2 linked regions of the Danio rerio genome follow. The protein of the gene in region 1 binds, or shares a complex with, the protein of each later gene. Links are inferred from orthologs where the notes say so. Each region holds a gene or a part of one and is shown in the gene's direction. Other genes may lie near its edges. The genes, in order: lrp6 and sost.

What was found.
Region 2: the proteins of lrp6 (region 1) and sost are in contact, whole or in part, in a crystal structure (PDB 6L6R), measured with the Homo sapiens proteins. The link is inferred for Danio rerio from reciprocal best matches to the Homo sapiens genes LRP6 and SOST. Residues at the interface, in NP_001401174.1 of Homo sapiens: Arg28, Asp52, Val70, Ser71, Glu73, Leu95, Ser96, Asp98, Glu115, Arg141, Trp157, Trp183, Asn185, Ala201, His226, Phe228, Trp242, Met269, Arg336, His361, Asp379, His404, Asp406, Thr422, Glu447, Arg449, Trp465, Trp491, Asn493, His534; in NP_079513.1 of Homo sapiens: Leu115, Pro116, Asn117, Ala118, Ile119, Gly120, Arg121, Arg169, Thr171, Arg172, His174, Asn175, Gln176, Ser177.

Annotation. Positions count from the first base shown.
Region 1 is NC_133179.1:159,988-176,293, forward strand, and holds part of lrp6 (low-density lipoprotein receptor-related protein 6 precursor), read left to right. Parts: intron 1-2,047; coding exon 2,048-2,184; intron 2,185-3,582; coding exon 3,583-3,980; intron 3,981-4,363; coding exon 4,364-4,535; intron 4,536-4,677; coding exon 4,678-4,894; intron 4,895-5,601; coding exon 5,602-5,891; intron 5,892-6,631; coding exon 6,632-6,858; intron 6,859-7,018; coding exon 7,019-7,203; intron 7,204-7,401; coding exon 7,402-7,728; intron 7,729-8,014; coding exon 8,015-8,217; intron 8,218-8,458; coding exon 8,459-8,670; intron 8,671-9,667; coding exon 9,668-9,858; intron 9,859-10,305; coding exon 10,306-10,515; intron 10,516-10,709; coding exon 10,710-10,835; intron 10,836-11,036; coding exon 11,037-11,273; intron 11,274-11,486; coding exon 11,487-11,597; intron 11,598-12,760; coding exon 12,761-12,991; intron 12,992-13,310; coding exon 13,311-13,447; intron 13,448-16,114; coding exon 16,115-16,212; intron 16,213-16,288; coding exon 16,289-16,306. UniProt on the Homo sapiens protein: Component of the Wnt-Fzd-LRP5-LRP6 complex that triggers beta-catenin signaling through inducing aggregation of receptor-ligand complexes into ribosome-sized signalosomes.
Region 2 is NC_133187.1:29,152,849-29,169,852, forward strand, and holds sost (sclerostin), read left to right. Parts: upstream 1-9,826; 5' UTR 9,827-9,912; coding exon 9,913-10,153; intron 10,154-12,244; coding exon 12,245-12,636; 3' UTR 12,637-14,148; downstream 14,149-17,004. UniProt on the Homo sapiens protein: Negative regulator of bone growth that acts through inhibition of Wnt signaling and bone formation.

The DNA of each region.
Region 1 (16,306 bases):
AAGCCTGCTCTGTACTCGACGCGTCCGCTAGTTGGCTCGAGTGTGTGTCGTCATCGCTGTGTTTGCGGAGGTTTGCTTTGTGTGTGTGTGTGTGTGTGTGTGTGTGACATGATCTGGGCTGGCGGAGCGCATGGTTTCTCTGAGCGGAGTGAGCAGTGCACACGGCGCTGAAATCTTGGTTTTACAGAGTTAGCCTACAATGAACGAATATTACGACTACAAACAATACTTCCGCCCCTGTGACATCACGAATGTTCGTTATTGCGCACACACACTGAGCAGGTAAGGGGCGTGGCCAGAGGCGCTGTATCGGTATAGCAGATGAAGCTAAAAATGCGTCTAAACACAGCTGCTTGCACAGAGCATCGCCTGTTTCTGTATTTGGGCTTATAAAGGACACGACACAGAGACAGAAGTGCTCACAGCTCAATATTAATCATCTTCCAGAGAATTATAAAACACACAGCAAGCGTGATCTGACCAAACAGCCCCACAATCTCTCCCAGTTCAGTGCTGAATTCGGCTGAAATCTCCTCAGCAGAAGCTGTCAGGTACATCAGTGAGTGTCTTTATCAGTTAGTATTGATCATGACATGTTCAGTGTCTAGCGGGAACAGTGTGCTGTAGCAACGATGGAAACAATGCGAAATGCTGCTTTGCGGGCAAACGATTTAACTACAAACTCACATTAATCAGCCAAACTGCTGTAAACACACACACACACACACACACACACACACACACACTCACACACACACAGATGCACACGCAAACGCTGTTAAAGGAGCCGCACCCCATTTTCATTTGTTACAGACACATGTCAGATGTTATTATAGAGAGCAGGCAGGAGGTTGACTGAGGTTTACACAGCAGAAAAGCGTGTGCTTGTCCGGGCGTGACGTGGAGCCGATTCGCCAATCGCAGCACATTATAACGATGACCAATCACAGTCACTGTGTATAATCAAAGTGAGATGTATGAAAAAATAACAGCATTTCCTTCAAGTGAACCATGAGCACACATTGCTTTGCATCTTATAAACACAACCAAGCCTTAAAATGACATTGTGGACCAGCCCTTTAGGATGTTTGGGTAAAACCTGAGGGATGCGTTCAAGCCAAGAGAGGCAGAAGAAGAGAGCCAGTACACAATCTGTGTTCCAGCAGTCACAGCTTTAACACTGACGCACATATTACAGTCTAATGTAAACTATTTAATACTAAAATACTCATTACTGGTATCTGGAGGGAATATTTGATCCTCAGTGTACTGATGCCGGCCTCTCGGCCAGGGCCAGAGCGAGCTGAACTGCTGCTCTAGGCAGAGGACGATCACGCCGCCCTCAACCCCAATGTGAAAACGCAAGTGACCGGTTATGAAAATGAAGTGAGGTGTCGCAGACATCTATTCTGCCGCCCTATGCGCGGATATAACTGAGGACGCGGGTGGTAAGGGAGGTGTCGCGGTCGCTGCCCTCTCTATACTGCGGCGCTAGGTGGCTGCCTCAGTCGCCTCTATGGACGCTCCGGCTCTGCTCTCGGCTTTAGTGGTGATGATGGTCAGTCATGTGTGAGCAGTGCAGCGGGCTACATCAGCAGTAATCATCTGTATGTTTAGTAAGAGTGCCGTCTGTTGCTTTTCTTCTTGTCATGATATCTGTCGAGCTGTCCGTGTTCTGCCATCAGTGATACTCCACTTTAACAGGTAGAGCGGTCTGAGATATGGACAGCAGCAGCAGATGCGGCACACTTTCATTAACGCTGGTGAATGGGTTTACAAGTCCTTAATCATTCAAATAATCACAATAATTAGTTTCTAATACTGAATGATGTTAATGATGTGGTGTGGTTCCGGAAACGTCCTACTTCTCTGTTTTTGATTTTGAAGAGCATCACAGCGGCGAACACAGAGAGTAAACACCTCGTCTGCTGACCCTAACCCTAAACTATACAGCCGCCACACAGACCGCTTCATCAACGTGTCTTCTCATGTGTGTGTGTGTGTGTGTGTGTGTGTGTGTGTGTGTGTGTGTGTGTGTGTGTGTCAGACGTGGCGAGCCCCTGCTCTGTGAGGAATGGAGGATGTTCTCATCTGTGTTTGCTGTCTCCGGCCAAACCCTACTATCAGTGCGCCTGTCCAACCGGCGTACAGCTGCTGGAGGACCACAAGAGCTGCAGAGACGGTGAGATACACACACACGCACACACACACGCACGCACGCACGCATGCACGCACACACACACGCTGCTCTTCTGTCAGGGGCTGATGACTGTTTTATACCCTAAACACACCTGCACAATGCTTCCTGTACTGATGTTTGTGTCGTGCGGTGTGTGTGTGTGTGTGTGTGTGTGTGTGTGTGAGACAGCAGTACACAGCAAAGGATTATGGGTAACTCTATGAACACCACAACAACTGATCAGACACGGGACACACTGCAGTCTACACACTGCTGGACTCATGATGGACGACTGCATCAGTTCAGATCTATCCTACTGATTGAGAGAGTGTGTGTGCGTGTGTGTGTGTGTGTGTGTGTGTGTGTGTGTGTGTTTTCGATCATCCGTCATCTTGCATTATTCTCTCTCTGGTTGCCGTGGAGGGTTACCATCCGGTGGTTGCCATGGTAGCGTGTGATCCTCCAATGTGAGCGCGTGTGTGTGTATGTCTGTGCGTGCGCGTGTGTGTGTGTGTGTGCGGTGAGTGATTGCGGCTGCTGGGAACGCTCTGCACTAGTTGAATGGCTCGGGCTGAAAGAGACTCATTTGTAAGGGTCTTTGTGTGCGTCCCTCCCCCTCTGAATGAACACCGCAGCACGGCCTGATGGGAGATCTGTGTGTTCCGCGGCCTCCATTCATTCATTCCCTGTGTGTGTGTGTGTGTGTGTGTGTGTGTGTGTGTGTGTGTGTGTGTGTGTGTGAGAGAGTATTGATCTCCACACTGTGCTGGTTTGAGCATTATACAGTTTCTATATCCTCTCTAGTAAAGCAGCACATCTACAGGCCGCTGAACATGGCAGACGACACTCTCTGAGCTGCATGGCGCTGCTGGACTCTACAGGCTGCAGTGTTTGAGTGTTGGTCATGGCACTGAAGTGTGGACTGAGTAAAGTCATCATCCTGCAGGTTTGAGCAGACTCCACTAAACCGTCTGAGGCCAGCTTTACTGTATAATCCCTCACTAACTCCCTCACACAAGATCAGATTTGGATCAGAACCAGCAGGCCAGTACCCGATCCAGCAACAATATGCAGCATCAAACCCATATCTGATCCTGCTATCAGGGTCAGTGCAGCCCTAGTGTGTGTGTGTGTGTGTGTGTGTGTGTGTGTTGTGCACTGAAGAATGGTGAACTGATCCCCTTCACAGCCAATCACTGTCATTTCCACAACACAACAGCCAATCAGCGGTGTTGACCGCACTAAACGCTGCTCGTGTGTGTGTGTGTGTGTGTGTGTGTGTGTGTGTGTGTGTGTGTGTGTGTGTGGACGGGATGTTTTTAAATGTTCAGTACCGCTGCATACAGCACAGTGAGGGTCCGTGAGGTGGTGTTGATCAGTCCTGTATTCTGGTTCCTCCTGCAGGCCCGTCTCAGCTCCTCCTGCTAGCGCGCCGCACAGACCTGCGCCGGATCTCTCTGGACACGCCGGACTTCACTGATATCGTGCTGCAGGCCGAGGACATCCGGCACGCCATCGCCATCGACTACGACCCGGTGGAGGGACACATCTACTGGACGGACGACGAGGTGCGCGCCATCCGCAGGTCCCTCCTGGACGGCAGCGACGCTCAGCTGGTGGTGACCTCGCAGGTGAACCACCCGGACGGCATCGCCGTGGACTGGATCGCACGAAACCTCTACTGGACCGACACCGGCACGGACCGCATCGAGGTGACCCGACTGAACGGCACCATGAGGAAGATCCTGATCTCAGAGGATCTGGACGAGCCCAGAGCCATCGTGCTGGACCCCGTCGCCGGGTGAGACGCGCTTATTTCAGAAAGCCTGCAGTACAGGGCCCGTCCTCTAGGGGCAGAGTTCAGCAGCACACTCCTGTTCTAGCATCAGCATTGCATTATTAAAGTGTGTTCAGTATTATGAGACACCAGTGTTCTGCTCAGAGCCAGGACAATCAGCCGAGTCACGACAGCACAGCGCAGTACTCTGTACACAAGCGGATCAGCATGTGTTTTACACTAAACGCTGCTGTTATTCCAGCCGAACTGTAAGATCAGTGCGAATATCAGAGCTGGTGTGAGCTGAGAGAGCCCAGAGGAACACCACACTGCAGGAGGACAGGAGGAGTGCAGTGTCTTCAGCAGCTGATGGTGTGTGTGTGTGTGTGTGTGTGTGTGTGTCGCAGATACATGTACTGGACAGACTGGGGCGAGGTGCCGAAGATCGAGCGGGCGGCTCTGGACGGGTCGCAGCGGATGGTGATGGTCAACACTTCTCTGGGCTGGCCCAACGGCCTGGCGCTCGACTACAGCGAGAGGAAGATCTACTGGGGGGACGCCAAGACCGACGTCATCGAGGTCAGATCTCACACACACACACACACACACACACACACACACACAGCAGAGACGTGTCTTGCAGCTCGTATAAAGGCTCAGAATGGCTCTCCTTCAAGTGTCCTGACACGGCGCTGATGAGCAGGTGTGTGTTGTCCTGCAGGTGATGGAGATGGACGGTTCGGGCCGGCGGGTTCTGCTGGAGGATAACCTGCCGCATGTGTTCGGCTTCACGCTGCTGGGAGACTACATCTACTGGACGGACTGGCAGCGGCGCAGCATCGAGCGCGTGCACAAGCGCAGCACCGAGCGGGAGGTCATCATCGACCAGCTGCCCGACCTCATGGGCATCAAGGCCACGTTCGTCCACCAGACCTTCGGTAAGCTAATGCTAATGCTAATCCGCTACAGCGCATTACTGCATCACTCCACCTGTATTTGGAAAAGCCTCATTTCACGAGTCTCCCAGAGTTCAATGACTTCAGCCGGTCTCTTGTTTTAGCTTAGCTTAGCATAATGAGTAGAATCAGATTAGACCATTAGCATTTCATTTAAAGAGTTATTCATTCATATGTATAAGATGTGTTCTCTAGGCAAATATTAACAGGAACTATACTAAATACATAATAAAACATGTCGCAGCTGCACCAGGCGGAGGGATATTACACAGCAAAGGAGAACCGGCTACTTTTAGAGCGCTCCTGTTCTGTCAGATAACACAACAGATTTAGCATGATTGGATGTGTCAAACAAACCCTCTCCATTCAGAGAACACCGCTAATAACAGCTAATATCCCTTTATGAATCAGCAGTCGCCACAGCGGAATGAACCGCCAACTATTCCAGCATATTTTATACACAGCGGATGCCCTTCCAGGCGTTTGCCATTCCCCTATAGCGCATGTGTTTGGACTGTGGGGGAAACCGGAGCACCCGGAGGAAACCCACACCAACACGGGGAGAACATGCAAACTCCACACAGAAACACCAACTGACCCAGCCGAGACTCAAACCAGAGACCTTTTATAAACCATTTTTAAAATACTTGATTGTGTGTGTGTGTGTGTGTGTGTGTGTGTGTGCGCAGGGGTGAACCCGTGTGCGTGGGCTAATGGCGGCTGCAGTCACCTGTGCCTGTACCGGCCTCAGGGTGTGTCGTGTGCGTGTCCTATCGGCCTGGAGCTGATGGCGGATCTCAGCACCTGCATCGTCCCCGAGGCCTTCCTGCTGTTTTCCCGCCACACCGACATCAGACGCATCTCCCTGGAGACCAACAACAACAACGTGGCCATCCCACTGACCGGCGTCAAGGAGGCGTCCGCCCTCGACTTCGACATCACCGACAACCGCATATACTGGACCGACATCACACTGAAGGTCAGCGCACGCGCACACACACACACACACACACACACACACACACACACACACACACACACACGCACACACACACGACAACCACATATACTGGACCGACATCACACTGAAGGTCAGCGCGCGCACGCGCACACACACACACACACACACACACACACACACACACACACACACACACACACACGACAACCACATATACTGGACCGACATCACACTGAAGGTCAGCGCACACACACACACACACACACACACACGACAACCGCATATACTGGACCGACATCACACTGAAGGTCAGCGCACACACACACACACACACACACAACTAAACCAACACACTGCACACACACACAGAATTCTGTTGTTTATTGTGTAGTGCAGCGTGTGTGTGTGCAGTGTGTTGGTTTAGTTGTGTGTGTGTGTGTGTGTGTGTGCTTGTGTGTGTGCTCGTGTGTGTGTGTGTGTGTGTGTTGTTGATTGTGCAGTGTGTTGGTTTAGTTGTGTGTGTGTGTGTGTGTGTGTGTGTTGTTGATTGTGCAGTGTGTTGGTTTAGTTGTGTGTGTGTGTGTGTGTGTGTGTGTGTGTTGTTGATTGTGCAGTGTGTTGGTTTAGTTGTGTGTGTGTGTGTGTGTGTGTGTGTGTGTGTGTGTGGTGTTGTTGATTGTGCAGTGTGTTGGTTTAGTTGTGTGTGTGTGTGTGTGTGTGTGTGTGTGTGTTGTTGATTGTGCAGTTGTGTGTTTCAGACGATCAGTCGGGCCTTCATGAACGGCAGCTCTCTGGAGCATGTGGTGGAGTTCGGGCTGGATTACCCAGAAGGCATGGCGGTGGACTGGCTGGGCAAGAACCTGTACTGGGCTGACACGGGCACCAACCGCATCGAGGTGGCCAAGCTGGACGGGCAGCACCGGCAGGTGCTGGTGTGGAAGGATCTGGACAGCCCCCGCGCACTCGCCCTCGACCCCGCTGAAGGGTACGACTGACTCTGTGTGTGTGTGTGTGTGTGTGTGTGTGTGTGTGTGTGTGTGTGTGTGTATATGTGTGTGTGTGTGTGTGTGTGTGTGTGTGTGCTACTATTACTATATATAATAAAAGGTCTAATATCAGTGTGTGTGTGTGTGTGTGTGGCGTAGGTTCATGTACTGGACAGAGTGGGGCGGGCGGCCCAAGATAGACCGTGCAGCGATGGACGGGTCGGGCCGCATCACTCTGGTGCCGAACGTGGGCCGAGCGAACGGACTGACCATCGATTACGCTGAGCGACGGCTCTACTGGACTGACCTCGACACCACACTCATAGAGTCCTCCAACATGCTGGGTAACACACACGCACACACACACACACACACACACACACACACACACACACACACACACACACTCACTCATTGAATGTGTGCTGTCCCTGTGTTCAGTGTGATATTAGCATCTCAGCTTTATAATAAACACAACGCTGGATAATGAGTGTGTGTGTGTGTGCGCGTGTGTCTGCGTGTGTGTGTATGTGTGTGTGCAGGTCTGGAGCGCGAGGTGATCGCGGATGATCTCCCGCACCCGTTCGGCCTGACGCAGTATCAGGACTACATCTACTGGACGGACTGGAGCCAGCGCAGCATCGAGCGCGCCAACAAGACCAGCGGGCAGAACCGCACCGTCATTCAGGGCCACCTGGACTACGTGATGGACATCCTGGTGTTCCACTCGTCCCGGCAGAGCGGCTGGAACGCCTGCGCCGCCACCAACGGCCACTGCTCACACCTGTGCCTCGCCGTACCTGTGTGCAGCTTCACCTGCGGCTGCCCCGCCCACTACTCCCTCAACACCGACAACAAGACCTGCAGCGGTGAGTGTGTGTGTGTGTGTGTGTGTGTGTGTGCCCCGCCCACTACTGCATCAACACTGACGTCACACACTCATTGGCCTCAGTGTTGCTGGTGCAGCAGAGGGGCGGGGCTCTGGCTCGCTGTGGTTGGGTTGTGTGTGTGTTCTGGTTCTCCTACATGACTGATCAACACTGTCCTGATGGGGAGCGCAGCTGAACTCATCACTGGTTTGTTTGGGCCGACACTAAACGACAGGGTTGTGTGTGTACACCATCATTTATCCCTGTGTGTGTGTGTGTGTTTCAGCGCCGACGTCGTTCCTGCTGTTCAGCCAGAAGACGGCTATTAACCGCATGGTGATGGACGAGCTGCAGAGCCCCGACATCATCCTGCCCATCCACAGCCTGCGGAACGTGCGCGCCATCGACTACGACCCGCTGGACCGGCACCTGTACTGGATCGACGCCAAGCAGAATGTGATCCGCCGAGCACAGGAGGACGGGAACCAGGTGAACACACACACACACACACACACACACACACACACACACACACACACACACACACACACACACACACACACACACACACACACACACACTGCTGCTCTGGGTCTGACCATGGCTATTGTCATCATATGAGTCCTCGGGTTGGGCATTTGATATTAGGTTAGACTTTCTGATATGGAGCAGCGCCACCGTGTGTGTGCACATGACCTGAGTGTGTGTGTGTGTGTGTGTGTTTCTGCAGAGTGTGACGGTGGTGTCCGGCGCTGTTGGCGGCTCAAACCTCGGCCTGCAGCCGTACGACCTGAGCATCGACATCTACAGCCGCTTCATCTACTGGACCAGCGAGCTCACCAACGTGATCAACGTGACGCGCACAGACGGCTCGCGGGTCGGCGTGGTGCTGCGCGGAGAACACGACAAACCCCGCGCCATCGCTGTCAACCCTGAGCGCGGGTGAGCGACGCTTTAGCATTCAGTGTACCGATGAACACTCATGATGACAACATGCCATGATGGGGATAATCAGTCTGTGCGCTCAGTGTGAGCCGCTCTACACACACACACACACACACACACACACACACACACACAATGCAGTTGTTTAGATTGCAACTGTGCGGTTTATTTATAAGATAATGCCTATTTCAAACATTTACAGTTTCTGAGAGCGCTGGCCATTAACCAGCCATAGTGTAGAGCAGCGGTGACCAACCCTGTTGCTGGAGAGCCGCCATCCTGCAGATCAAACACACCTGCCTGTAATGATCACCTGGTGTTCAGGTCTTGATTAATTGGTTCAGGTGTGTTTGATATGGGGAGCAGCTGAAATCTGCAGGAAGGTGTTTCTCCAGGAGCAGCGCTGGTCACCCCTGCTGTAGAGCAAACACAACTGATGTTTTCATCCACTAGATGGCGACAGAACTGCATAATTAGCCCTTACACTTAGATTATAACAGTCTGATCTCTATACAGCAGATCAGATCAATATTAAACTGGTCAGCTCACCTGCCAACACTCCTTTCAGACCAAACATCCCGTTTTTATTCCTCCTGGAAAACTCTGGTAATTTCCTGTAACTGCTTTCACAATAAATACCCTGATTACCCTAGTGAAGCCTTTACATGTCACTGTGAGCTGAACACTAGTGTCTTGAAGAATATCTAGTCTAATATTCTGTGCATCATCATGGAGAAGAGGAACACATCAGCTGTTCACACTGTCATGATCAGGGGTAATCTGCTCTCCGCTAGTCAGAGATTGGGGAAATGAACAGGGGGTGAGTAGCTCTGCCCGCAGCTGTGTGCTGATGTGTTGACGGTGCGGTTCTGGACTGTGTGTGTTTGTCTGATGAACACAGGTCTTCATCATGGTGATGCTGTGGGGGGAGCGCTGGTCAGTGCGTGTTGAGCGGTGTGTGTGTGTGTGACGGTGTGTTGCGTGTCGTCCGCAGGTACATGTACTTCAGTAATCTGCAGGAGCGCTCCCCGAAGATCGAGCGCTGTGCTCTGGACGGGACGGAGCGTGAGGTGCTGTTCTTCAGTAATCTGGGCCGGCCGGTGGCTCTGGCTGTGGATAATGAGCTGGGCAAACTCTTCTGGGTGGACATGGACCTGCGGCGCATCGAGAGCAGCGACCTGTCCGGTGAGGTCAAAGGTCACACTGATGATGATGATGATGATGAGGGTTCAGGGGTGGCACAGGGCTCGAGGAGTTTCTGCTGTTCCACATAGTTGATCAGTCATGATGTTCGTCATCTGCTGTCTGTCTCATCCTCCGCATGTGCTCGTGTGCTGCTCTCGCTAGTCTCTCCTCCTCTCTCCTCCTCTCTCTCCTCCTCTCGCTAGTCTCTCCTCCTCTCTCCTCCTCTCTCTCCTCCTCTCGCTAGTCTCTCCTCCTCTCTCTCCTCCTCTCTCTCCTCCTCTCGCTAGTCTCTCCTCCTCTCTCTCCTCCTCTCTCTCCTCCTCTCGCTAGTCTCTCCTCCTCTCTCTCCTCCTCTCTCTCCTCCTCTCGCTCAGCTCTGCTCGGGATTCTGATTTACATGCTTAGCCCCGCCTCTGACCACCCGTATCTCCGCCCCTTTCTGCCTAGGAGCCAATCGGATTGTGATCGAGGACTCCAACATCCTGCAGCCGGTGGGCTTGACGGTGTTCGGGAACTTCCTGTACTGGATCGACCGGCAGCAGCAGATGATCGAGAGGATCCACAAGGTGACGAGAGAGGGACGAACCAAAATACAGGCGCGCATCGCCTCACTGAGCGACATCCACGCCGTCCACCAGCTGGACATGCAGGAGTACAGTGAGTCTGAGTGTGTGTGAGTGTGTCTGTCTGTGTGTGTGTGTGTGTCTGTCTGTGTGTGTGTGTGTGTGTGTGTGTGTGTGTGTGTGTGTGTGTGTGTGTGTGACGGGAATCTCAACAGTAAAGTATAAATGTTCAAGTATGTTGCGAGTGCTCTTTACGGTAATGACGTGTGTGTGTGTGTGTGCGCACAGGTAAACACCCCTGCACGTCTGATAACGGCGGCTGCACACACATCTGCATCGTGAAAGGAGACGGAACCACACGCTGCTCCTGCCCCATTCACCTGGTGCTGCTGCAGGACGAGCTCTCGTGCGGAGGTACACACACACACACACACACACACACACACACACACACACACACACACACACACACACACACACACACACACACTAAAAGAGTGTATTCATGTACAGATTCACTGCTCATCTGCAGGATAACTCTGTCTGATCTCTGCTGATGATGACGGTGTGTGTGTGTGTGTGTGTGTGTGTGTGCGTGTGTGTGTGTGTCCTCAGAGCCGCCCACGTGTTCTCCAGAGCAGTTCTCGTGTGTGTCGGGTGAGGTGGACTGTATCCCGCAGGCGTGGCGCTGTGACGGGTTTGCGGAGTGTGATGACAGCAGTGATGAGCGGGACTGTCCTGTCTGCTCCAGCCGGGAGTTCCAGTGTGACAGCCGGCAGTGTGTGGACGCGGCGCTGCGCTGCAACGGAGAGATCAACTGCCAGGACCGCTCCGACGAGAACAAGTGTGAAGGTGTGTCTGTGTGTGTGTGTGTGTGTGTGTGTGTGTGTGTGTGTGTGTATATATTCTCATTACTGTTGAACATGTCTGTAGCTCTGCGCTGGCACAGGGTTCAGGCGTCTGACATCACTAAAAACACAAACCTGATCAGACATCTGTCCTGTGAACAGTGAATCGGTTATCAGCTCATGCCTAGTCTGACTCTTCACCTCTGTCTGTCTGTAGTTCTGTGCCCTGCGGATCAGTTCACCTGCTCAAACGGACAGTGCATCGGCCGACACAAGAAATGTGACAACAACATGGACTGCACAGACAACTCAGACGAGATCGGCTGCTGTAAGAGCTTGATGAAGCACACAGACACTACCTCAGCGGTGTCCAAACCCAGTCCTGGAGGAGCGCTGCCCAGCGAAGTGTAGCTCCAGCCCTGATCAGACACCCCTGGGCTATAATCGAGCTCTTACTCTGCAGCTGAACTCTGCAGGACAGCGGCCCTCCAGGACTGAGTGTAGAAACACACTGTGTAGATACATCTGACAAAGCTCTGCCCAGAAACAGCAATGATCACTGCAGATGTGGTGTCACCGGGCGAGGCAGTGGCGCAGTAGGTAGTGCTGTCACCTCACAGCAAGAAGGTCGCTGGTTCGAGCCTCGGCTCAGTTGGTGTTTCTGTGTGGAGTTTGCATGTTCTCCCCGTGTTGGTGTGGGTTTCCTCCGGGTGCTCCGGTTTCCCCCACAGTCCAAACACATGCGCTATAGGGGAACTGAGTAGGCTAAATTGTGCGTAGTGTATGAGTGTGTGTGTGGATGTTTCCCAGAGATGGGTTGCAGCTGGAAAGGCGTCCGCTGCATAAAACCTTGCTGGATAAGTTGGCGGTTCATTCCGCTGTGGCGACCCCAGATTAATAAAGGGACTAAGCTGACAAGAAAATGAATGAATGAATGGTTTAACCCTTGTGTGCTGGACGGAGCGACTCTCCTGTGGTGATGCTGGTGCCGGTTCTGACCCATTCACTCATCATATAGAGAACGCTGCAGTACTGACTCATGCTGGTGTCCCTGCTGGGATTAAGGGGGACAGTGTGAGTTCTCCTGCTGATGATCAGCCTGTGCTGGCGAGTTTCTGTCTCCGTCTGTAAGCCAGACTCTGTCGCTGATGATCAGCTGGAGAACTGGACTCTGGTCCTCCTCATGTCAGTGAGTGCAGCAGTGGATGTGCTGGGGTGAGTGTGTGGTTATAATGGGGGTCAGTGGGCAGATCATCAGCACAGGAGAGTCCGGCTGAACACTGTGTGTTGATCATCTCCTCTAAATGTGTGTGTGAGAGTCAGATCAGTCAGCAGAATCCTGAAACACAGAGAGACACATGAGGACTCCACATCAACCCAGAGTGATGGAGATCACCCAGCAGGGTTACCACAGTGATGAGTGTGATGATGCGTGTTTATGATGATGGTGCTCTGACGTGTGTGTGTGTGTGTGTGTGTGTGTGTGTTCAGATGCGACAGAGGAGCCGTCGTTTGCTCCCACTAACACCATCGGCTCAATCGTGGGTGTGGTGATGGTGCTGTTCGTGGTCGGCGCGGTGTATTTCGTGTGCCAGCGCGTGCTCTGCCCGCAGATGAAGGACGACGCCGACACCATGACCAATGACTTCGTGGTTCACGGACCGCCGCCGGTGCCGCTGGGATACGTCCCACACCCCGCATCCCTGAGCGGATCACTGCCAGGTGGAGCTCCAACAACACTCACACTGACGAGAAGCGTGTGTGTGTGTGTGTGAGATACTAGTGTGTGTGTGAGATACTAGTGTGTGTGTGAGATGCTTGTGTGTGTGTGTGTGTGTAAGATGCTTGTGTGTGTGTGAGATACTAGTGTGTGTGTGTGTGTGAGATACTAGTGTGTGTGTGTGTGTGTGTGTGTGTGTGTGAGATTAATATGATTATTTCTGAGTGTTTTATTGTTATTTGTGTGTGTTCATGAACAATAAACATGAATAATTAAAGTGTGTGTGTGTTTGTGTGTGTGTGTGTGTGTGTGTGTGTTCAGGCATGTCCAGAGGGAAGTCAGTCATGGGCTCGCTGAGCATCATGGGAGGCAGCAGTGGACCACCGTACGACCGCGCTCATGTGACCGGAGCCTCGTCCAGCAGCTCGTCCAGCACTAAAGGAGCATATTTCCCTCCGGTACACACACACACACACACACACACACACACACACACACACACACACACACACACAGCTGTTTCAGTACTTCTGCCAGAGCTGTTACTGTGCCCGTGATGTCCCCCTTCCACATTAAGGCTGATTTGCCTCAAGTGCCCGTGTGTGTGTGTGTGTGTGTGTGTGTGTGTGTGTGTGTGCTCCGATGCAGCCTGCGCATGCTCACACAGCCCTCGCCGTGGCTGATGATGCTCAGAAATATAAGTACATATCGCAACGACATCACAAGCTGTGTGTCTGTGAGGAGAGTGGGCCTGATGGCGTGAGTGTGTATGAGTGTGTACGAGTGTGTATGAGTGTGTATGAGTGTGTATGAGTGTGCAGGGCTCGAAATTGACTTTTTTACTTGGTAGCACCGGTGCTCCCAACTTCAAATATTTAGGAGCACCAGAAAAAATTTAGGAGCACCACCAAAAATGAATGAGCACCGCTGCAAATTGTTTTTTAAGGGATTTATTGTATTTTAAAACAACATCAATAGGACTGACAAAAACCAGAAACAGCTATCTAACTAATGCTGCGAAGACTTTGATATTTGTGTGCAATAATTCCAAAATGAATGTCTAATAATTAGGCCATAGAATATTAATGATGATGAAAATGACAATAATAGTAACAATGAATAACATTTCTCATTATGATGCTGCCTTGAATGTGCATGAATGTAGGTTATCTGCTATAAAAAGTCTGTTACTTTATGAAAAATAATTGTATAGTTTGCATCAAACCAAAATGAAGCATTGCAGTAAGAAATATTTATTTTGTGCTGCTGTTTTTATATGCATGTCAATTTAATAAATAATATTTCTGCTACAAAACAAACAAAAGATTATAATAAATCATTCAATTCAATGATGAAAGCTGCAAAGCAGTCATCAGTAAATAAATAAAAAAATAATATACACCTCAAACAAGAATAGACAAAAGAAAGTAAGTAAAGTCTCACTTCTATCACTCTTTAAAAGTTTTGGTTTCAGTTTGTGTCAATTTAAAGGTTCAGTCTGAGCTGATCTTCATTTTTCTGTGTTAGTGGAAAAGCAGGCGAGTCAGCCGACCCAATTTATGAGCAGGCAGAGCAGGATTCTTGCGCTAACCTTCGGCGCAATACCGGTCTTTGTTATGAGCCGCAGTTTCAGTGTAAACTTAGTAAAGGCGAGCTTCTTTGGCGATGATATGTACAGTATTAGATTTGACTTTTAGCGGACATTTGCGCTGAACACGCAGTGAACGGAACGCATCGAGATTCGGGCACCTTCTCCAAGAAGCGCATACTCGATTGATCTCAGCTGGCGGATCAATATTCACCACGTGACGTGTCATGATCGCTCTCATCTGCGCCTCAACTTTAGGTGGGGTTTGCAAACCTGTGCGCTTTAAGTTTTCAATATTCAGCCATTTGCATTTCCCGTGGTCATAAAAGCTCCTTCCCTGTCATCTGACAGCGGAATACCTTGAGTGATTGACAGCTAATATGAACCAATATAGCGGCAGAGAAGAGCGATTCAGCACGTTTTTACAAAAAATCAAAACAGGTCGCACTACAACTATTATCTGCAGTCGCACTAATGCTCCATATATATTATGAGGTCGCATAGATTAATTTTCGGGTGCATATGTGACCAAAATGGTCGCAATTTCGAGCCCTGGTGTGTACGAGTGTGTACGAGTGTGTACGAGTGTGTACGAGTGTGTACGAGTGTGTACGAGTGTGTACGAGTGTGTACGAGTGTGTACGAGTGTGTATGAGTGTGGAGTCTGGTGAAGGAGCTGCAGATGGACACTGGTGTTCTGTGTTCACCTCAATCTCTTCATATTAATAGTCTGCATTACCAGAACAGATCATACTTTCAGTGTAATGCTGTCATGAAATATGATGACAGACATTCAAGACAGCTTACTTTAATACCTCAATAGAAGCTTTAAATGTAAATATGACGTCTCATGTGGGAACGGTCAGGATGAGCAGTGTGGTAATCTAATAGTTCTGCTGTTAATATAGCCCACTCTCGTGTCTGTTAATGCAGAATGAAGCGAGCGCATCGATGCCCGTTCTGGCCAATCACAGACGTTTCTGTTGAGCTCCTGAGCACCATGGCCAGTCAGCACATGCTGATCTGCTCTCTCATTGGCTGCGGCTCGTCACTACATCTGACCATGCGTGGGGTGGAGTCGGCCGACTGTTCTGGAATATTCAGCATGCTAGATTATTAAATTTACATCTGTGAGGTGTCGGTGACGCTTCAGCGAGCCTCTTAGATGCATTGTTCAGTAGTTCACACATAAACACTGCCGAGCGCTGAGCACCTGTAGATTTTCCCCAATCACAGCCGATCTGTCGGAGAGCAAGGTAACTTCCAAATCAGGCTCAATCGGGTTTAAATCCTGCAGTGTGAACTCAATGTTAGGCACCGTCTGACAGTGGGAATGGCCATGAGAGTGTCCTGACCTGATCTGACCGGACCTGCAGCACTCAGTGAAGCGGGCCTCTAGTGTTCAGGGATAGGGAAGGCGGTGTTATGGAGAAGTGTTCCTGCAGGTGGTTTGTCAGCTCCACTCAGCTGTGTGAGGCTCTCTCTATAACACACAGTGAGTTGATGATGTATGTGTAATGTCTCTGCTGTTCTGCAGATCCTGAACCCTCCTCCATCTCCAGCCACCGTCAGGTCTCAGTACACCATGGAGTTCGGCTACTCCTCCAACAGCCCGTCAACACACCGCTCCTACAGGTAACATGTCCTCTGCCCATCACGCGTTTAATGCTAAACCTCTGTATGCTAACATGCTAATGTGTGTGTTGTGCAGCTATCGGCCGTACAGTTA
Region 2 (17,004 bases), on another chromosome or scaffold:
TTGTGTGTGTTTAAGCATGCACATGTGCGTTTGTGTTTTAATGTATGTTTGTGCACATTTCTATGTGTGTGTAAGTGTTTGTATACTTTCAAAATGCGTGTTTCAACCTACCCCGCCACTGTCATCTATTGTTTAGCTAGCTGTATTAGCATGGTGCTTTGAAATTAGCAGGTTGATACACCATTCTTTTCTACAGAAACTACAGTTTGACCTGATATAACTCATATAACATCATCTACAATGGTAGAGGTACTAAACTAAATATTATCTTGCTATCTATTTTTACTTTCTTACCTCAGATTTTGATTTTCTGCTGTAGCTTCTAGAGAGATTGCAAGACTGACTGGAAAATCTCCATGTGTGATTGTTAAGGATACCTGAGGAAACTGAAAATGTTACATGACCCCTATCTTATGCCTGATTCGTAAAACTGGTAGTGTTACAACTCTCCCTGTGTTTCAACTATACCCGGTTTATTATTTTATGTTTATATTTGTCTGCACACATTTAGACTCAATTTGTATTTTTACCTTTTTATGTACCAGGGCTATATGGTATTTTCCTTTTTTTTTAGTTATTGTCTTATTTGCATACTTAAATTATTATTTAGTATATATATATATATATGGCATGTTTTGGTAGGAAAATGAAACCAGGTTTATTTAATATTTTGACTGCAGTAATGTTTTAATAGAATATCAACACTTTTGCTCAAGTTCTTAATTTGCTTGCTTTGGATTTACAGCCTGTATTTTGTATAACACACTAAAATAGCACTCTTGTATGAGCATTATTAAATAACGGCATATGATGACAACAGAAATGACCTTTTCAAGTGACCTCTGACTTAAAGGAAACTGAAAAGAAGAAGGTCGCAACAATATATGAGCGCAAAGCTAGATTTACGTACACATCTGTCGTCTTTGGCAGTCCATGACAAATGGACAGCATGGACAAAAACAGACGAAAGGAAAGTCCACACTGTGAGGTGTTTGAAACCTGTCCCTTCCCAAAGCAGGTTTATTTTCTCTTCTGTGTGGGTGGCCAGAGGGAATATCTTTCCTGCTACTCCATCATCAGCTACCTTCACATGACAGCCAGTGGCATGACCCTGTTTATTAGTCCTGCTTATAATTAGTCTTTATTGGATTAGATACCAGAGAGCAAGATTATTTTCACATGCTTGTTATCTGGTTTTATTGATCCCATAAAAAAGCAAACTTGCGGAGCTTTTTGAAACGTGCTCTTGAAATAACTTCCTTTTTTCCCCTCCCTCTCTTAGAAGCCAAATAAATTCCTGCATGCTCAGCAGCTGAGCCTTTTTATACGTTCATGGCCAATTAACGCACCTTCCTCAAGCATTCTGGGAAATGATGACGCTCAAGAGCACATCGTCGAACTGCATGTTCATGCACTTAAAGCCTGCTTTAGATTTTAACAGTCACTTGCAGTTTCCAAATAAATCCACAGACATTTTCACTCTGAAAATGAACACCTTATGAAAAAATTATTCATGTACAAAAGAAATTGCAACAAAAACTGTTGCAAAATATCATGTGTATTACTGATCCACATACTTTAGATTTTCCAGAAAAAATTTTTTTAAAGCTGCAGTCACAATAGAGTTTGAGCTTGCGAAAATCGCCGTACGACAAAACATAAAACAAGATGATTAGCCATTGATAAAGCAAGAGATAGCTCAATATTTAACATTTCTGCACAGAGAGGTCATGTTTCTTCAGGTCATCTTTTTTGTGTGTCTCATGAAATCCCATAATGTGATTTTGCAGGTCAGAGTATTTCGCATGCGTATAAATGGAAGTCCATACGGCAAAAAGTGTAGAGTGATGGTAACTTTACATATAGATTATGGGCCCTATCATACACCCGGCGCATTAAGGCGCAAAATGTGAATGCCAATATTTGTTGTTATGTTTTGCGCCACGTTGTTTAAATAGCAAATCCATTTGCACCACATTGTGAACTCATAGTGTTCCAGTCTAAAAAGGAGGTGTGTTGAAGCACATTGTTGGCTCATTGCTATTTTGAGGAACTGAATTGCGCCACTGACCAGCTAAAAACTGGTCTAAAGTCCAGCGCAGAGTGCATTAGTTATGCATCTATGTGGGTTATGTGGGCAACACTTACACATTGCTTAATGCACACAGGATGTACAGCAACACACAAATATCTTTACAAATGAAAAAAATTACAGGATTAAAATTCTACAAAAATTATTATTTTCTACATAAATATAAAAACCACTGCCTCCATGGCAGGGGGCTTTTTTCAGTTTCATTCATTCATTCATTTTCTTTTTGGCTTAGTGGCTTTATTAATCAGGGGTCGCCACAGCAGAATGAACCACCAACTTATCCAGCACATGTTTTTTGCAGCAGTTGCCCTTCCGGCAGCAACCCATCACTGACAATTTGTATTTGTAAGAAGTTATTATAATTAGTAGTATTATTTATTATATGCATATTTATATTTGTTTTAATAAAAACTAGGTTAGATTTATCCACCTTTTGGAGACGTACACGTCACCACATGGGGCATAAGAATAGGACATGTGTTTGACTATAACTGAGTTGTTTGAGCACATTAGTGTTCATTTATTCATTTGCTGGGAATGAAAACTAAATTTAAAAATAGTTTTGAAAAAGCTTTGTGCTTAACAAACAAAATTAAATATGTAGGCTTTAATTAAATATGCAAGGTTTATTAGGAGAATGGTAAGGCAAGCAACAGTCAACACAGGAACAAACAGATGTATACGGGCAATCCAGAGTCGTGGTCAATAAGGTGAATGGTCAGTACAAGCTAATAGCAGACAATGTAAATAAACAACCAAGGCGAGGGTCAAAACATAGCAAAGCAAGACAAGAGAAACACGTTGTAATGTTCACAGTAACAGATAAACAAGACTCGGCACTGATGTGTCTGTGTGTGAGCTGTAAAATAGTCCTTGTAATCAGTCTTTGACAATTCAAATCACGAGAATCGGGAACAGGTGCATGTGAGCAGTGCATGACTAGACCTGTAGTCCATATAATGGCAGATTTGTAGTTCTATATCAGTCTGCGTGTTTACCAGTGATCTATACAGATTAAATTGCTAATGATTGTGACAAAGGTTAGTAACTGTATATTGACTGTATAGAATTCCCTGCATGACACTTCACTTTTTAAGCATTTTTGTTGACATTGCTACTTTTTTATGTTTTGTTTTCATCTTGAGTAATGTACATTCAAGCTTTTTATTACATCTATTGCTGATAAATAATGTTTATAGATTTACTATTATATGTGTTTCCATGATAGTGTTTAGTAGTTGTGTGAATGACACTGAGCATCTTCTATATATTAATGTTTTTCTCTGCTCCTGGGAAAAGTTGTTTGTGATGAGCTTTGGTTCATCATATGACTTCTTCAGAAGATAAAGGTGTCATAACCATGAAACACTGGTGTATAACATTATAAATTAATGGAAGTGATGTTATTGAGGCCATCAGGGGATGCTCAACCTGGGTCCTAATGCTACAGAATAGTGAAGGGGACTGCTCAGTGAGCGCTGTCTTTCAGATGAGACGTTAAACCAAGGTCCTGACTCTCTGACTTCCCAGGATGCCCTTCGAAAAAGAGTAGGGGTTTAACCCCAGCAAAATTTGCTTCCTCATGGCCTCCTAACCATCCCCATACCATAATTGGCTTCATCACTCTGTTTCCTTTTCCACCAATCAGCTGGTGAGTGGTGTGCAGCCTGGTGCAATATGGCTGCCATGGTGGATGCTGCACACTGGTGGTGGATAAAAAGATTCCCCCAACGTGTAAAGCACTCTAAATGTCCAGAAAAACACTATTTAAATGTAAGGAATTATTATTATTTTTAATGGTAAAGTTCAGACAACCACAGATGCCATTTTTTTACAGTAAATTTTATGGATTTTATTTACAGTGTGCTCAGTGGAGGAAAATAACCATTTTAAAATCCATATCTGTTAGCATTCTTTTAGCTAAAAACTGATTTTGTTTTATCTGACATCAAATAGGATTCATTTGGACTGACAAAACAAAGTGCACATTATACCTAATGAAAGAAACTTTTTGGATGTCACAACAGCTACAATGGTGCAAGCTTACACCATACTGAAACGGTCAACTTTATGTTTAAACAAACATGGTATCTATAATTGCACATTGTGCACATGACAAAGCCAAATCACTTGAAAATGTCAAGATGTGTGACGCTGTTCTGCTAAATATCACTTCCAGTAATCCTGGACCTGATTTGATTATATAAATAAATAATTTTTGAAATTTTGCAATCTGGATTGTAACAAATCACAGCACAATGACACACTACATTTCTCAAAACAGTTCTACTGAAGTTGTAAGCAATGTCCAATTGTTTCTCCCAAATCCCTTTCCTTCATAAGCTGGCTATAGTGTGTTTTTCTCACCAGTGCACAGGTCGTCAATGGATAAATAGACTCAATAAAGCGCTAAGTGACGAATGTTTACAAGTGCACTTGTGGCAGCACTGCTAATACTCTACAACTCCACATATAGTGGTTACAGGATGGTTAACAACACATGAACCCAGTGGTCAGGAAAGTTTGCCGAGATGCACAGAGAAACCACAGCAGAGGTTTTGCACGGCTCTTAAACTCAAATGAACTCTTAAAAAACATGATTTGGACTTCAGAATGATTCAGCTAGTCATGGCTTATTTAAACACCTAATGTGCTTGTATTTCTGTTAAATCATCAGACTATTCTTTCCAGTATGAAAAATGCGCTACTAATGACAAATGCAAATGACTTGGCAGACAGAGATGTGAGGTATGACTATAAGACTGTGGGTTCACATGCTACGGGGAGCTGTGCTTTATAAAATATGATCCATAAAATTTTTCTTCGGTAACACTGCGCAGATGCCTCATTTATAATAATATTTGCAGGGCTATATTTCTAAATGAGACATTAGTTCCCAGGACAGCTGAAAATAATGTAATCTGCACATCTGAAAGTAGAAATCACTGATGCTTTGGAGCAAAACTACAGTATCTCATTTTACATCCAGAGACACTTATAATATATCCATTAGCAGGCTTTGTGAAATGTTATTATGACATTCCTAATAGATTATCGCCTGAGCTGTTTGATGACTTAAATTCGGTGTAAAAAAGTTTTGGATTATCACAGGCTCAAATTTCACAGTTTGTGACATATGTAAGAAATTGTAAATAAATGTAAATTGCGCTGTAAATAAAAGCCAAACATATGTCATTTAGATACTGGAGACACAAGTTACAATCTTTACAAGGGCTACAGTATACTGTATGTACATAGATTTTAGCAAACTTTAGTGGCGCTGTTAAGTAAACTGCAGCCAGCAACTTATACTCAGGCTTGCACTAGTGCTCATGTACTGCACAACATTTTTAATTATTATTCTTTGATTAGAAGTAAAGCAGTTGTAAATACCTTTACAGGGATATTCTGGACATCCAGATGCAGTCCACTTTTTTCAACAAGGTTTTCTATTAAAAACAAAATAAACACACACAAAAATGACAAAATTAATGAGAAAACAGCAGTTAAGTAAACATCTCATAACAGGGGTGTTTCACTTTTCTGAAATTTCATAATTATATGTTAATATAATGTTTGTTTTCTGGCATTACGTTGACAGATACGGTAACAAAAATTGCCATTTAATTACATGGTTTCTACATGTTTCAACAAGTCAAATTTAAGACTTTTTTAGACCTTTTCTGACTTACACAAGGCTAAACGTCAAAGATTTTTTAATAGCCAAGTTAAAACCTTTCACACTTTATTCTGATGGTCTGTTTGTTGAATTTAAGTTACATTGCATCTACATGCCAAATAATTCTCAATTGGATTATGAGTAGACTGCTAGGTTGGGGTTAGGGTTAGTGTAAGTTGACATGTACTTGCAAAGTTTCTCATAGTCAGTTAAATGTCTGTTTTGGTAGCAGCATCTACAGATATTAAGCAGCTAGTCTACTCAAATGGACTATCAAAATAAAGTCTTACCAACATTTAAAATAAATGTTATGCAAGGAAGATAATTAAACCAAATTAATACGTAAATAGAGATAATAAATAAATGTTTCTTAAAACTCTTATTGAAACATATTTTTGGTGATTGGATGGGTGTTGGCCCAATTTGGTAAAGCTTTACATTGACATAGGGAAATTAAGACCCGTTTAAAATTATTTAAGACCTACAAGACAAAATTTCCATTTATTTAATTAATAAATAAATAATACTTTTAAGGCCTAAAATTTGGTTTTCGAAATGTAAGACATTTTAAGACTTTTTAAGACCCTGTAGATACCCTGAATTATAAAGTGCATTTGAGATAGACTATAGTTCTGGTTTTCAGAGACTAGTTTGATTCAGGAGCATATAAAAACATCACATCATTTTTATTGTCCTGCAAAAATATTCTAATTATCTTCACATAAATATTAGGAATGAACCAATAAGGAAATTTTGACCAACACTGATACTGCTAATATAAATACAATTATAAATACACATTTTTAAATTATATATATGATACTGCTGCCTCACAGCAAGTAGGTCGCAGATCCAAAAGACATGCGGTATAGTTAAGTTGAATAAACTAAATTGGCCGTGATGAATGAGTGTGTATGAGTGTTTATGGACGTTTACCAGTACTGGGTTGCCGTTGAAAAGGCATTCGTGGAGTAAAAAACTCAACTGAGAATAACAACATTAACTGAAAATCCTGTCATCATTTACTCACCTGTTGCCACAAACCCGTTTGAGTTTCATTTTCTGTAGAATAGTACACAAAATAAGTTCGTATGAAAAATCTTGGGAACTGGCAAACATTGACGTCTTTAGTATTTGTTTTTCTTATGGCTAACTGTGGGCCACATTGTGGGTGGGTAGCACGATCGCCTCACTGCAAAAAGGTTGCTGGTTCGAGGCTCGGCTGGGTCAGTTGGCATTTTCTGTGTGCATTTTGAATGTTCTCCCCGTGTTTGTGTGGGTTTCCTCCTGGTGCTCTGATTACCCCCACGTCAAAAGACATGTGCTATAGGTGAATTGGGTATAAGTTAAATTGTCTGTAGTGTATGTGTCTGAATTAGTGTGTATGGATGTTTCCCAGTGATGGGTTGCAGCTGGAAGGTCATCCGCTACGTAAAACATATGTTAGATAAGTTGGCGTTACATTCCGCTGTGGCGACAAAAGACTAATAAACGGACTAAGCCGATAAAAATGAATGAATGGTTAACTGTTTCTAACATTCTTCTAAATATCTTCCTTTTGTGTTTAACAGAAAAGGCTCATAAAGGTGTAGAACTCACTCATTTTTGGGTGAACTGTGCCTTTAAGAGCTTTAAAAAAAGAAAACAACAAGCAGCAATTGACCTTTCTCAAAATCACTTGTTAATTGCATTTCTGAAAGCTTTTTCACAGTGAAAGTCTTTCAGAAGAGGCTCAGCCAGAGGAAATACTCCAATTTATATAATAATAAATGTATATGATAATTTTCCTTATTGATAAAATATAATAATTAAAAAATATGGGATCAGCCAAATATTTTGCATCATCAATGAACATCAGTGTCTGGTAGCATAAAGTTGTTCGCAGGGCAGAGATCACTTTTTGTTTTTGCAGGGGTAACATTTCTTCTCAACTTTGACCCAGTTCTTATCTAAAAACTTTTAATGCTCGGTTGCATGTATGTTTGCATTTCATATGCATTAAGAGTCAAGCCCTGTCAGTCCACGATGAGTTAAACACTTTGTTTATGTGGGTTTGACACAGTGTTACTTTTCTTATTCTTTATAAAAATATCTTTTGCTGGCGGCCCTTGTAAATCTGGAACACATCTAAGTGTTATTTATGCTCGGGCTGCTATCTTGATAAAGCAAGCCTGGAGACTGTGTTTTCTGTGCACAAACCCAAAGAGATATAAAAACAGCCAGTGAATGACAGGGAAAAGAGCGTAGGCTACAATCTGTGGTGGACATTGTGATCTTTCTTTTTCTTCATGATGACAGGACGAAGAGTTACAATAGATCTCAGAAGAATTCCATCTTTCCTGCTTTTTTTCTCTCTGCTGGTGGTTTAAGCTTATATGATTGGTGGGCTCAATAGCATTAGAAGATCTTTTTCAGCCAGTCTCATGCTTGGTATTTGTTATTCTAGCATTTTGATGCAGAATTAAATAATGCAATAAAATAGACAGGAGGAGCACAGCATTTAGTGCAGTAGGCCAGAAGAGAGACATACACTAATAGCTGTTCAAGGTATTTGTTTGTTTGAGCTCCCTCAAGAGGGCAGTGTTTGTACAAAGCGATTAATTTAATGCTAAAACGATGACATAAAGCATCTGCACCTTGTGCGGGTCCCACTGCTTATTTATAATAGTCCTTATGGCCAGACCAAAAAAACAAAAATATAAATAAAAAAATAACATACTTTTATTCAAAATATTTTTTTACAGCCCAATAAAATATATGTTTATTTTATTAATAAAAACAGAGCAAACTGAAGAAGTTGCAATATTTATTATTAGAATGATTTTTTTTTACTATGCAATAAAATGTTGTGTATAAAAGTGTACATTTGAATAGTAGCAGCAGTAGTAATTATTATTAAGCAATATTATTATTACATTTGAAATTGATAACTTGGCTTACAAATGAGAAGAATATAGAATAATAGTAATAATAGGAATGCTATTTCGCAGTGGGTTTAAGGCTATATGAATATTTGACACTTTATTGTTAATTTCATGTCATGTAAATAAGAATTTCAAACGTTAAACATTAGATGTATGTCGTAGAATTTCAATTTCTTCCAGTTGTCATACAAATGTTGCAACCCTAGGTCAATAACCCAGGTGCGTAGCCAGGTGGGGTTGGGTTGGTTCGAAAGACTCACCCCTCATTGACAAAGGTCCTAAATTTGTCCCATACATGGGCTCATTTGTCGTGCTATGCCATCATAAATTGTGTAAATAACTAATCGAAGATTATTATTAGCCTAATAACTGACATTTCTTGACCTTAATAGGCAGTTTTTGATTTAAGACTTTAGCAGATTTTTTTTTGTAATGATATATGATGTAATAAATGAAAAATAATATATATAAATATATATATTTTTTTATTTCTTCATTCTAAACCTTCAGGAAATGTTTTTGGTACATCAAAAAGTGTGGTTATGATGACCATCCAACAAGCTAATCCAGCTAAAATGTCACTAAAATGCAATATTTAAAATTTAAATAAATACAAAATTAGTTGAATAACTGCAAAAAGGTCATTTTTTATAGATTTTTTTTTTTTTAGAAAAAAGAACCACCTTTTTCACCAGCCTGGCTAGGCTGCACTGTATAATATATTGAAAAAAAGTTTTAAATGTTTAAGATTTCGCTTTTATAATGTATTCATATAACGTATTGATATAATGTATTCTGCAAAAACCAACAATAATCTGTTTAAAAAGACAAAATTCTTTAAAAATTAAAAGTAACTTTTTCTAAAAAAAACAAAAAAAAAAAAAAAAAAAAACATAAAGCTACACAAATAGCACTGCAAATCATGTCCAAATCTCTGATTATTAATACCGTGTGATCCTAAGTATGAAACAGAGGTAACGACTCAAATAAACGACTTTTCTCTCTCCAAGTTGACCTTCCACTTCTGCGCGTGCCCCTTCCTCCCTATCAGTTTCTGAATGAGCCGCTCTGCCTAAATCCCTCCCACTTCGTGTAAGCGCTAAATTATCTGGGTTTTTTGCAAAACCTGTGGTAGTTTAAAAAGGCAAGCCTCTCCCGAAGAGAAGAAAACTGGTCGAAGTTTGCCCGCTGAACGGCTCGTTCTCAGTTGTATTATGCAGGTGTCTCTGGCGCTCGTGCACTGCGGCGCGCGGCTGTTGCTGCTGCTGCTGCTTCAGGGATGTTTCACAGCTGCGCACGGATGGAGGCCTTTAAAAAACGATGCTACAGAAATTATACCAGAATACGCGGAGGACACGCACAAACCCGAGGAGCAGATACAACTGTCTGACAATAACACAATGAATCGGGCGAAGAACGGTGGAAGGCGGTCGTCAGCAAACACACGGACTTATGGTAAGTAACGTGAAGCTGTTATTTAATCATTAGAAGCTTAACGAAGTAGATCATCGCCAGCATAAATATACTTTTTGTAATTTTGTTCAATTTTAGAAGATGATTTTTCTTCTTTAAATGTGATTTATTGGGTGGTTAATAACAAGCTATAAATGCTCAGATTATTTTAAACCATTTTTAAAATCAAACTAATAACAAATCAAATAAATCTAAAATAAAATTAATTTGGTGTTATAAATTATATTATTTATTGTGATTACTTATTTGAACTTTTATTGCTTTACAGTATTCCAGGTATTGGAATATAACATTAAAGAAAACTTTGTGCATTAGCATTTGTGAGTTAAATGAATAAGGGAAATGTGTGTTTAAGATAAGAATGAAACGTATTAAAATGTATTAAATTAATATAAAAAACAGTGTCAAATATAACACAAATATTACACAAATTCCATTTTACCGATTTGGAGAGATACTTGTTATTAAAGTGTGAAAGGCGGCAGCAAATTACATTTACAGGATAACAGCAATCAGTGTATAATAATAATAATCAAAAATTTGCTAAATTGACCAACAATGTTGCATATTTATCCTACTTTATAATGTGATGTAGGTTATATGAAGGCTACACAAAAATAATAATAAAAACGGGATATTGACTTGATTTAAAAGTTCTGAAAGGCTGCCATTCCAGCTTTTCTACAGGCCAAGTGATGCACTAACTATAATAAGCCTTTTTTTGTCTTGCTGCATCCCCAATTTTACATAATTAGACAAGGTATGCCTTTCCATAACCATCTAATTGCAACAGTATGGTTTCAGGGTAGTTGAAAATGTGAGAAGTTATTCTAAGGGGTCATTTCTTCAGGGTATTGCCATGATAGGGAATGACTTCCACCTGTGGAAAGTAAAACTACTGTGAATTCTAACACTGCACAATGTGTGTGTGTGTGTGTGTCTGTGTGAGAGTGTTTATGTATGTCGGATTTAACAAAAAAGTAAACCACAGCATGTTTCCAGAACACAAATCAAGACTTTGTATTAAAGTCTTGGAAAGTGCGTTTGAGAAATTGCAACATCTAAATTTATTGCTAAGTAAATGCACACAATACATCCAAAAATAATAATAACAAGAGTTCCTTCGTGAACAGAATAACGAAGTTATCACAAAAACAATAAACAGTAAAAATACTTAAGGCTTGCGCAATCCAAAGATAATTTACAATCTCTAATTATGTCACTGAACACTCCTATGATGTTGCGTTTCGCCATAAGGAAACAGTTATCAAGCCAAGGATGTACATTTAACTGGCTCATTAGGGGGTGGAGAGAGATCTCACACCGTCCTGTGCTGCTCTGGAAGGGGTGACGTGTGTAGTTTCTCTGGTGGTCAGTGTGGGGTCATGTTGAGATATGTTCATCTTCCTCTGGCTCTCTCCCAGCTCCTCATAAAACATCAGATCAGGTTTTCTGAGAATCAGGGGAGGCAGAACGTGAACTCATCACACACATAAATCCTTTGTTCCCCTCTATGAGGGGAGCCCGTTCCACTCTCGGTTTCATCTCTTTAAATGACAATTAATGAAAACATTGTTGATGTAGTTTAAGGCAGTTAAGCGAGTGTGCGCTAAATTCAAAGCTTACAAAAACAACAAGCTTACCAAGACACCCAGAAGTCTCTCATTGTCTTTCATGGATATTCAGTCCTTATTTGCACTTATCAGAACAATCTGGTACATGGTTTAGTGTCTGTGGGTTTATAATTGATTGGCTTCTCATCGATTCCAGCCTCAATAAAGAGTTCATCTTTAACAAATTGTCGCATAAATCCAAACCAGACTTAAAGAAAATAAATAAATAAAAAGCATATTTTGTGCTGATATAAAAAGATTTGATCATGCATTTCCTCTTTAGTTTGACATACAACATTTGTCTGGGAAACTTGTCAAAAGAACAACAAAGTCAAGTTCAGGAAATCTACTTAATGCCTTTGTATATATAACAAAACATGAAAAATTTGTTTCGTGCATGGTTAGTAGCTGTGTTTTATTAAAGATGTACCGCTTAAAACATTTCTGCTTTCTTTCCCAGGAGCCTCAGAACTCAGCTGTCGGGAGTTGCGTTCGACCCGATATGTGACCGATGGATCTTGCCGCAGTGTCAAACCCGTGAAGGAACTTGTGTGTTCTGGTCAGTGCCTTCCAGCTCACCTGATGCCAAACTCAATTCTACGGGGGAAATGGTGGAGAAGCAGCTCCTCCGATTACCGTTGCATCCCTGCTCACTCCCGCACCCAGCGGATACAGCTCCAGTGTCCAAACGGACCAAACCGGACATACAAAATACGAGTTGTCACATCTTGCAAGTGCAAACGCTACACTCGACAACACAACCAATCGGATGTCAAAGAGTCGTCCAAGAAACCACGGCGCAATAAGAAGCACCGCAGCAAAGTGCCGTCCATCAACAGCAATTCATACTGAGGGGAAAAGATGCAGAACTGATACAGAAAACACTCTCTTGCACACATACAAAAAAAAAAGAAAGTACACCAATACATATGCACACATATTACAGAAACTGCAATCCTCATCTACAAGGGAAGGAATAAACGCATTAGCATTTACCAAGCTTGTTGGCATGCTAACAAGTTTCCAATGTATTTCAGATGTCTCGCTGTTTGTATGTGCTCTTGAGCCTAAATCGTCCCAGTTTGATCACAATATGCCAGCGGACTGAGTGAAAAGACGTCCGCTGTTATGCGAGATTAGATCAGGCAATGTGATTTTTTGAGGGAGGAGGAATATTCCTGCTCAAGCGGTTCATTTCAAGTTCACCGAAGTTCATTGAAAGGCTAACTTACGGGCAAGCATACTGAGTGCTCCACCAGTCCAGCAAGTGCTCATGTGAATGTTTGTGCACCAGATTTGTCCTCTTTTGGGATTCGGAGCAGTGTATGATTTGAGCGCTCAGCCGCGTCTGGCCCAAAAGACACGCTGCTGCTGACAGACCACTGAAGCCCAGAATTCTTAACCTTGGTCACTTTTACCAGGTCCTTTTTGACAGGCTGGGGAGTCCATGTGAGTGTCTGCAAATTCACATTTCCACAAGAAACTTATCGACACTGGCAGCTAGAGCCGCCTTATGGAGAGTTCGGAAAGTTGTGTCAGCCCTCCACGGTCCAAGTCCCTGGAGGTCGAGAACAGCAAACGGTATTCCTGTGACTTGTCCTAATTACCAAATAGTTCCATTCCTGTGTTTAGGATTTGAGTCATAAAAAGCCATTTCCTCTAGACATGGTCAGTTCCTGTTTGTTCGAACACCCGAAAAAGAGGCCCACATGTGTGCACGAATCTGCAGCAATTCCTCGCGGGCAAATAACCTTTACGCACCCTCCTTCAATGGAAACCATTTGGAGATATTCAGCTATCTGCAATCGCTAGCAGGTTACCTACATCCATTACTGAAGTCTTCAGCAGAGATGTCATCCTTCCTGTTTCCACACATGACCGGAAAAGAACAAACAAATAAGTGAACCAATCTCTGAAATCGTGGGCTGGATGTTGATTCTACACAGGATACAGAGATCAGAGAAGGCCAATTGTTCAACATTTTTTCTGCCCACCTCGATGATATTTGCTCATTTTTTCAATTGTGTGTTTGAAATAGCAACTGGAAGGGATTTCTTATAATGTAAGCAGACTTGTCGTGAATAGTAACTTGTACATAGTATACCTGTGTGGTATACCTGTGTAGTATACCTGTGTGGTCTGTGTGGTGAGCAGTATCCTCCTTCAACCAATGGATCCTCTTTCAGACCAAAAGACTGTTACAAAGAATGAACTGTGTATTTATTTTTGTATTTTTATCATTTAAATTATTTATGCAATCTTTTTTTTTTTTTGTAGAAAATAATAGCCATTATTGTACTATATGTAATTATAGTGAATTTCATACCGAAAAAAAAGAGTACATGAATAAAGTTAAGCAACCTATATATGTGAAAAGAAGTGTGTTTTGTTATCATTCTTGTCAGACTGCCTTGACAGATCCTTTCTCCTTTTGGGCCGTGCCCGCACTCTAAATCCGTCCCTCAATGAGCCCTCTGTAAACAATATTCTGCAATTAGGAAGTAGAGGCTTTGTAACACTTTGGAATGTCTAAAACACCTTTACAAAAGGCGAGAAAAGGAAAGAATCCCCTCGTCAGACGTGAACAGTACAGTCACAACAGAACCAGCTCTTTATGTCCGGTATGTTGAACTCAACCCACAGGCTTCCATTCATCTGTTTGTTTGTTTAAGCTTGCACAGTCTGAGCCATAGATTGACAAGGAAATGTGGATTGCTTGACTTGTTTTAGCCCTTCTAATCTTGTTTGTTGCACACTTGAGAGCTGGCTCATGATGAAACATATCACTATATTAGTCTAACTGGATCCAGGCTGCTGTAAACCAAACAAAATGACTTGTTCATATACTTGTTCGATGAGACTAAAAGATATTCATTCATTCCTTTTCTTTTCGACTTAGTCCCTTTATTCATCAGGGGTCGCCACAGCGGAATGAACTTCCAACTTATCCAGCATATGTTTAATGCAGTGGATGCCTTTCCAGCTCCAACCCAACACTGGGAAACACCCATATACTCTGCATTCATACAGAACCGCCAATTTAGTTTATTCAATTCACCTGTATCGCATGTCTTTGGACTCTGGAGAGACCAGAGCACCAGAAGGAAACCCACACAAACACAAGGAGAACATGCAATCGCCACACAGAAATGCCAACTGACCTAGCCGATGCCAAACCATAGATCTTCTTTAGACATCTTTACAAAAATGCTTGCTGAGAGATTAAAGAGGAGTCCAATGAAACAGTACTAATTATGTGATCAAGTTGATCTCTCTACAGTCTAAAAGTACTAAAATACTTGTATATACCAACCCAGACTCATGAAAATGTACCCCTATATACATTACTCAAGAGAGCAAAATACATCCCAGGAGCTACGTTTTTTGCAGTTTTTGTTTGTTTTTGTTTTTGCGAATCTGCCAGAGGCCGCTGTGTATGCTTTTTCAGGTCTCAAGTTTCTCTTGGAGTGCCATTCATGCCTGCTGTTCTCACATAAATCCACCAAAGGCTACTGTAGACTGACTGACTGACCAATCGACTGATTCCTCCACCCTCTCCCTTCCCTAAACCCAACCAATTGTATTTTAAAAAGCACAGATTGACCCATCCACCCACTTGCCTAAACCCAATCACAGTGTTTTAAAAAGCAATCCAGAAAAAGAAAAGCCCCCTGATTTTTTTTTACCACTTTCTTACCCTGTTATTTACTTGTTTATTTTATTTTTTAGCTTTTGTTTTTGTCTTACCTGGTTTAAAGAACCGTTCCTCACCATACTCGAACCCCGTTGTTGCTGTCAACTCCATTCTGCATCTCAAGTCCGCAGACGTACTTGTCGAGCTACTGGACAAACTGGTAACAGCAGAAAAGCTGTTCATATGGAGATAAGCTAGTAAGCGTGAAAAGGAATGGCATCATACCACCCCGTAGTGTTAGTTTTAGAGATGAAAAGCAAACATACGTAGCTCGGGCTACTTAATTAGCGATCTCCAGAAACATATATAGAGGTACGTTTTCAGAATAAGCCTATGTTGGTATATACACACATATTTTGCAATATACTTGAAATATAGGCCCAATCCCAACTCTACCCCTTAGCCCTTACTAACGCGTTCACATGAAGGGGTAAGGGTGTCCAAATTCTCTAGCTTGAAGGCATAGGACTAAGGGGAAGGGCACGATACCCAGAAAGAGAGATTTTTCAGGACTACACTCAAAACCAAGGGGTAAGAAAATTTTCCAGAATACACTAGCCACAACGACAGCATCACTCGGAAGTCAGGAGATATACAAATTAGTATTTTCCGTCATTATTATGAATTTTTAGGACAAACAAGCATATGTTTTAATACATTTGCGTTTGTGTTTTATTATCATGATAACATGATATTGTTGCCTTCGGTGACGTTATTAAGATAAACCCCCAATAAATAACACAACCGGAATAACCACAGCAGTCTCGATCATTGAGCCCTTTCCTTTCACACTCTGTTTCAAGAGCCAAGGGGAAGAGGCAGGGGGGCCATAATGTTTCTATAGATTTAAAAAACGACTATAAATAAATAGCTGTATTCTTTTGCTTCTTGGGATTGTTTTCCTTTGCATCACTCAAGCCATTGAGTTCACAGTTTGTACTTTTTGTACTTTTTTGTCCAATTTTCCTAATACGTCCATGCTTCGAAACAAACTGTGTTATTTGTTGCGTTTCCACTCGTAGCTGTTTGGTTTGGTTCATGGCTTATAACACTTTGAACAAGGACATTTTGTAAAATCCCTTTGGGTAAAATCAATTGCAAAAATACTTCCGGAACCAGTGCTGATGAAAAAGTGGACAGGCACTAATGCACTCTATAAGGAACATATTTTCCCGCAATTCTAATGTAATCGTTCCAAATTTGTGGCCACTTGACATGCCATGCTTTTGTTCAAAAGTAGCTGGCAGGCAGAATCATTTCCACATAATTCAAGAACAAATGCTTAAATGTGTCACATGAGCAGCTCCTATATAAATTGATGCTGACAAAGCATCTGACCTCAGTTATGGCCCCTGTTTGCAGTGGTTACTCGGCAGGGACCTGGCACAGACCTCCACAGCCACAGGGAAAGCAGGAGTGTGTGAGAGAGGTCAGCTGGGACTCACTCCTCAGTGTGTGTTTAACACTTTTGTGCCTGCTCCACAGTCTCTCAGACACAAAACTCCTCCAGAGACCCTGTCAGCCCG